Linked DNA regions of Oreochromis niloticus. The protein of the gene in region 1 interacts with the protein of each later gene in a biochemical or structural test. Links are inferred from orthologs where the notes say so. Each region holds a gene or a part of one and is shown in the gene's direction. Other genes may lie near its edges.

What was found.
Region 2: the proteins of npr3 (region 1) and nppa form a complex in vitro, tested with the Homo sapiens proteins (4 studies listed by BioGRID, with this or other methods). The link is inferred for Oreochromis niloticus from reciprocal best matches to the Homo sapiens genes NPR3 and NPPA.

Annotation. Positions count from the first base shown.
Region 1 is NC_031977.2:304,901-308,656, reverse strand, and holds the start of npr3 (atrial natriuretic peptide receptor 3), read left to right. Parts: upstream 1-1,559; 5' UTR 1,560-2,993; coding exon 2,994-3,654; intron 3,655-3,756. UniProt on the Homo sapiens protein: Receptor for the natriuretic peptide hormones, binding with similar affinities atrial natriuretic peptide NPPA/ANP, brain natriuretic peptide NPPB/BNP, and C-type natriuretic peptide NPPC/CNP.
Region 2 is NC_031984.2:35,514,727-35,518,482, reverse strand, and holds the start of nppa (natriuretic peptides A), read left to right. Parts: upstream 1-1,450; 5' UTR 1,451-1,547; coding exon 1,548-1,658; intron 1,659-3,756.

The DNA of each region.
Region 1 (3,756 bases):
AAATGATCAACAACAAAAAGAGCAGAGGCACAGCTGAGCCTACAGGTTCAGCAGGATGTCTGCTCAGACTTCCTTCTCAAAAATAAACATGAATCCAGACGTAAAAGATGAGATTACATGTGCGCTGAGCTGAGCCTAATGACCATAATTTCATAATTTCTCTAGGCAGTGGTCTAATTGGTGTAATTTGTACAATAAATAAAGATGTGCAGAATTATTCTTTACATTCTGTAAAATGCTTTCCACATCATTTTCCATGTAATGATTTTAAATGTTACAAAATCTGTGGAAAACATCAGCACTAACGTCAGCAGACTGCAGTCTGAATGCCAGCAAACAAAAGGTGTCTTTAGACAGCGTCAGTAGGAGGGTCATTAGTGACACATGTTAATGAGCCATGATAAGTGCAGAGGTTATGAGCTGAAGCTTTTTTGTTTGCTTTGTTTATTCATTCACAGGAGTCGCTCACTCTGTTCGTTTGGATCTCTCTGCTGTTTGTGTTCTTAGTACAGGCCGTGAACTCCATCACTGTGCACACACTTGTTCTATCTGTCTACTGTTTTATTTACAATTTATCTGTTTCATACGGCTTCACCACGGCTGCGGTTATTCTTCAACACAGACTGATATCTGTCTGGCAGCTTTCTTTTAATTCCTCCAAGCAGTCTTCAGGAATAGTTTTCGAGGCTTCTTGAAGGACGTTCAAAGCTTTTCTATCAAGATGATCCCACACCTATTCAATGATTTTGAGATCTGGACTCCGGGGAGGCCAGTCTGTTACTGATAATGTTGTGTTGTGTGTTTTCTATCTTGGTATGCAGTTACTGCATTGGTAGCATCTTTGGGATCATTGTCCAATCAGAGACTTTGAAACACAGCCCCAAACCACGACCGAGCCTCCACTGTTTTCCAAAGATGACTGTAGACCAGGGGGTCCCCAATCCCAGTCCGCGAGGGCCGGTGTCCCTGCAGGTTTTAGATCTCACCCTGGGTCAACACACCTGAATCACATGATTAGTTCATTACCAGGCCTCTGGAGAACTTCAAGACATGCTGAGGAGGTCATTTATCCATTTAAATCAGCTGTGTTGGATCAAGGACACATCTAGAACCTGCAGGGACACCGGCCCTCGTGGACTGGGATTGGGGACCCATGCTGTAGACCAGGGGTGTCGAACTCCAGGCCTCAAGGGCCGGTGTCCTGCAGGTTTTAGATCTCACCCTGGGCCAACACACCTGAATCAAATTATTAGTTTATTACCAGGCCTCTGCAGAACATCAAGACATGTTTAGGAGGTCATTTAGCCATTTAAATCAGCTGTGTTGGATCAAGGATACATCTAAAACCTGCAGGACACTGGCCCTTGAGGCCTGGAATTCGACACCTGTGCTGTAGACCCTCACTTGTGGTACCTCCATCCTGAGCTCCTCTGAACATACTGATGGCGATTTGGATCCAAAAAGGCTAATCTGGATTCTCCACTCCATACGGCCTTCCAGTGATTTTTTAACATTTATTTTTATTTGATTAGCATTCAAATATCTCAATGAATACAGAATTAAGATCTACCACAAAGCAAGAAAGCATGAGACAAAGCTAATCACATGCGTATTACGCCAAGCCTTTAAACAAAAGATCATTTAGTGTGCAGCTCGTGTACACAGGGCTTGAAGCAAAAGAGCAAAACAAACAAACAAAAAACAAAACATAAAACCTTCCACCTTAGATAAGTAAATACATTAAATTAAATTTCATAACAATAATCAAAGCAAAACAACCAAGAGTTTCAGTATTATTATTATTGCTCATTTCATTCTTGAAACTCTAGTTTTAAACATGTTTTTAAACAAGGAAAATGAAGTACACCTTTTTTAAATCACTGTCATAACTATTCCACACATTAACCCCTCTGACAGAAACACATCTCTGCTTTATGTTTGTCCTTTTCTTGTTTTTTCTTGTTCTGGAGTAATTTGGCAAACCTCAGCCTTTCCTCCCTGTTTCCTTAAGAATGGCTTCTTGACAACAACGCTTTCACTGGGAGCATTTCTGATGATGCCTCAGTGACATTAGATGGATCCACTGGAGGGTCAGATGCATCTCTCAGGTCCTGTGTCAGATCTTTGCTGGGTTTCTTCCTGTTTCTCACGGACATGACTTGTAATTTGTCGTTTATACTGTTGTTTATGGTGTACAGTGTTTTTGCAAGAGGCTTGTCAGCAGTGTAAGCATGCACTGCTGAGCTTAAAATGATTTCTTTGCCAGTTCACTGCCAACATTTAAAAAATAAAGAACTTAGGGCTTCATTTAAATCGTTTGTATACCATCAACATCAAAATTTTAATTTTTGGTCACATTTTTCCACCAGTCTTTCGACTTATTTGCTACTAATGCTGAAAATGTCTGTACAGAAATCTTGGTTACTGCAGAGTCCATGCACACCTGCAGTTTGACCCTGTCTAAATAAATGATCTATAGCTGTGTTACAGATGGTTAGAGCTTGATCAACAAGAAATAAAGAGCCGTCATCTGCATTAACTGGAGCGCATTAAGTCGTGCTACGTTGAAGTGGCTCATTGTGCGCTCGGGAGCGGTGTAGCTTTAAGAAGGAGGTGGGCAGCGCTCCGATGACGCATGAATAATCCTGAAAAGATGCTTCTAAACTCCAGGCCGGAGCCAGCGTGTATGATGGCTGTTGACTGAGCTGGAAGAATTTCCGAGCCTGGCACGATCAACTGTTGAGAAAATAGTTTGAACAGGTTCAGAAGCTTGGGAAGCGACTCTAAATGCAGAATAAAACACACCCATTCTGGCAGATTGGCTTCTCCCAAAGACAAATACAGTTATTTACTATTAAGGCATTTACTAACGACAGAGGGCTTTCTGTTTGCAGCTCTATGTGCGCTGCCGAGAGCCAACTTGAGGGAAGGAACATTGGAAGAATATTTCTCTAAAAGTCTTTTGCTGTCTGTCTTGAAGAGGAAGTGCTACCATGCCACATTTGAGAACACTATGTGTCTATTTCTTGGTAGCCCTGAGCCCAGTTATGACAAACACCATCACCGAGGACATAGATGTTTTGGTATTTTTGCCACAAAATAATTCTTATCTTTTTTCATATGAACGAGTCGCACCAGCGATCCATTACGCACAAAAGAGACTGAAGGCGGACGGGGGTCAGTACTCTGGGTTCAACTTCAACATCCAGTTTGAAAACTCCGACTGCCTCTATGATGCTTTCTTCACATTAGCGGACAGGTCTTGCGGACAGAAGCCCGACCTGATCCTGGGTCCTGTGTGCGAGTACGAGGCTGCGGCAGTGGTAAGGCTGGCGTCCCACTGGAACATCCCGGTGATCTCGGCAGGTGCCCTCGCCACGGGTTTCGCGAACAAGAACAAAGAATACTCCCACCTGACTCGCATCGCCCCGTCCTACGTGAAAATGGCAGAGACTTTCACGGCGATGTTTGAACACTTCACCTGGAAGAGCGCTCTGCTGGTCTTCGAGGACGACCGGGAGCAGCGGAACTGTTACTTCACGTTAGAAGGAGTATACCATCTGATGAGTAACTATAACATCGAAAGCTATGTGTTAACTGAAGACAAACCCCTGGACACGGACGAGCTCCTGCGAAGCATCAATGACATGGGAGGTAAAGCAGCTTTCCTTAGTCACTTTAAAGCGTCTCCCTTAATTAGACGGTGTCTGAAATAAGTCTTGACTTTAGGTCACTGGATTTGGCTGACAGCTAACC
Region 2 (3,756 bases), on another chromosome or scaffold:
GATTAATGTCCTGGTCTGCCCAAAGCCTGAAGGCAGGTAAAGGCACACTGTGCAAGTGTATGTGGCACATTTGTAATGCTGCAAAGCCGCATAAATCTCATCTTTTATTGCCCAAATATGTCACATTCCCCATGATCACCCAGCTCTAGCTCTGAAAGCCATCATAGGTACTACAAGGTCCTCTGGGAGCTTGATCAGCTATGGAGGATTGTCCCATGCCAAGAGTGTAAAGAAAAAGCACAAGCAGATAAAAAAAAGTTTTTGTATGTTTTAAACATGAGGTCTGTGTGTGACAATGGTATTAGTCTTCTCAGCAAAATGAAATGAATGATTCTCTAAGTATTATTTATTTATTTCAGTTGTGTTTAGTTTTGAGTAGCTTTGTGATTTTTTAAAATTGTTTTTTAATTGTCTCCAAAAGGGAAATTAAAATGACTCCTTAGAATTCAAATGTGCAGGATTATTAGGAGTCTGTGTGAAGCACATCCCTTATTACATGTGCCATTCATGTGCCTTATGAATGAGGGAACAAGACAAAGCTCCACCCATGACATGCAATCTCTTATCATAGTGCATTAAAGTCTGCACTTCCAAAATGTGCGATTGCAAAGACGAGGAGACCCTACAAACTAATAAAGACCTCAGGCTCTGGTTTGTCTGAATAATACTGTGGAGTTACAGTATAAAATGAGAACATGGTGTTTGTGTAACTCTTAACTGTGAAACACATTGAATAAACATTAAAACCCAAATATTTACTTTGTTAATATTTCTTTAAATATGTGAAAATTGTTATTTATAAAATACGTATGTATTATAATTGATTCTTGAAATTTGAGTCTATGTAATTCTTGTCTACTTTCTATTAAAGGTCACCCATTATTGAAACATATTTACAGTATACGCTTCTTCTTTTCTATAATACTCCCAGTTCATGTCTTTATCTACTGCACCTACAAGTTTAGATTATAGGCTGTATTATTCCTGCCTTACAAACTCATGACAGGAAGAAAATGCCTTCAGTTATGGTAATAAATCATATTCACAATCCTGTTTATATTCCTTTGACTATAACATTGTTTCCTTCCTGTCCTAATCTAAACCATGCAACCACAAGCAGCAGTTTTAACCTACTATGGTACGTTTCATTCTTGGGAGTGTAGACAGTGTTAAGTATATGCATAGTGAAACGACATTCTTCCCAATACACAGCTCGGAGATCCAGGATGGCTCCTTAGGTCATGCCACTGCTGGCTGGTAAGCATGATGATACACAGACACATATACTGTATACATAGACACATGCACAAACACACACACACACGCACACACACGTCACTTACCACCAAGCGCCACTTAAAGAGACATCTGACCAGTGGCCTTATCATTTAGAGGTGTCAGAATGCACTTGAGGCCGTCTACAAAATGATGGCACTGCCTGTCTGGTGCATGGTAAGTGTATGTAGATGGTTGTGTATGTGAGGCTGTCTGTATATAAAAGCTTGCAGTGCACGCTATAGTATCAGTATTAGCAGAAGAAACATAACATGAGAACTGAGGTTCTGTGGGGCGTATTGGCCCTGCTGTGTCAGCAAACACTGGTTAGCGGCCACATACTGGGGAGGCCCTCATCTGCTAATGACCTGGCTCAGCTCAAGGTAAGAAACCATGTCATACCTGTAATCAACACACCATTTGTGGAAACATTACACTGTGAAGGACCAGATACTTTGACATTCAAACAGAGAGAGGATCAAAGACAAGAAAGTAGCTGCATGAATAACATATTTCCTGTTATTAAAAATCATTCAAAGGCAGTTACACTGGTATCAGTGTCTTCTCAAATGCAGTTAGTGTACGAATACTACAAGCATTTCATAATTGCACTAATGCATCCACCCCAGTATAACTGATTTATGTTCTACTTGACAAAGTGAAGAGTTTTTTCAAATATAGTTTAAATCAGAGCACATGTTGACATGCTTTTCTATGGATTTGTGAATATTGAGAGGGAATAACAGGATGAAATGTTGACTGTTGTGATGACAACAAGAGGACACAACAACAGATCAGGCGATTACAAACAAAGCAACACAATGTGGAAAAGTAATTATCATTAGAGTGTGACCTCACATTGATCTGATCTCAAAGATATACCTGCTTTACTTTGTTCTCCTTATTTTCACTTGTAATTTTAACTTCATCACAACCTTCATCGTCATTCTTCCTTCATCTTATAATTAGCCAAGGTGAACTAGAAATTAGAGCGCTCTGCTTCCAGAATTACAAGCTGTGGTTCAGCTGTGGCTGAAGTAGACAGTTATTAAGGAGATTGCTGTGACTCTGACACAACACTGACATGACATGAACAAAACATTCACCTTTATTCCTGATATGCTGTTAATATTTGCATACCTATTAAATTAGGCAATAAAAACACCCACCATGGTTTTGAAAGTATGCAGCCTTTGGTTCATTGTGTGAACGTCACAATATCTGTGCACTGATGATAACTGTGGTATTTAAAAATTAAACATCGTGAATGATGGGTCCCTCTTGTTTGTTGTTGGCTGAGTGTTATGACTCTGTATCCAGATGGACTCTCAGACTTGGGACCCATCTGCTGACTCTGGCTACCTTGGTGGCCCCACACAACTCGTCACTGCTGTGTGTTTTTCAATTTGATTGGCACCTGAGGCATTGAGTGTGAGCATTGTTGACCAGCTGTCAGGTGTTCATGCCACAACTGTAAATTTTAAAAGCACTCTAGTGTTCATACAGTCATACTCATCCTTTACACCTCAAACTCTCACTTGCACCAACACATGCATAGGGTCTTGCAGTGCACACTATAGTATCAGTATTAGCAGAAGAAACAAAACATGAGAACTGAGATTCATTTCCTGTTCTTCTGATCTCCAGCCGCCCCCTTCTGCTCTTCAGCCACCCCCTATTTGTGTGTGTGTATATTATGGCTGGGTCTGAGTCTTTCTGAGTCTTGGCCACTGTGGGACATAGTGGTGGAGGGTGTGAGGTTGCCCTGCCCTGTCAGGTGCCAGGCAGTTCTCATCACCTGGGACCTTTCTTTTGGCTCATGCTGGGACAGCCAACCTCTTATGGGGTTGGTTACCCATTGTCTTTGGTTCTCTGGGGCCCTTGTCCTTTGGCTTTGGGGGCTCCATGTGGGGCCTCCCTCTTCCTTCACGCGGTTGTCATCGAGATGTGTGGCCTCAGGTCATCACTATTCTTGGGCGTCCGTGGACAGCCCGGGTCTCATGGTCTAATGGACCTGACTCTGGCTCCCCTGACTCTGGCTCCCAGGGGGGCGTTGTTGCAGCTTGTCACCCTCATTATCAAGTGTATTTTATGATAAACACACACACGCACTTGCACGTCCCACCTGTGATTGTGATTGTGCTCCATAAATCTGCTGGACAGGACGGGTTTATTAGGCAATAATCATGTCAAAATTGCTCATGTGATACTGATATGATATTGGTATAATTTTGAATACTTATGGTTACACTTGTATAAGCGTTAGGATTTAGTAATAGGTGAATTTGAGTTGTTACAGCTATTGTGATGCAAACTTTCCAATAAGGTATTTGAACAGACAAAAGAGGGAGGCTGTTCTCAAAAGTGTAGAAATAAATATGCAGCATAAACAGGTCTGTATTTTATATTTTTACATGATAACATCATGTTTTCAGATCATGCATGGCTGTGTGTAAACAGGAATATTTCTGGAACATCACC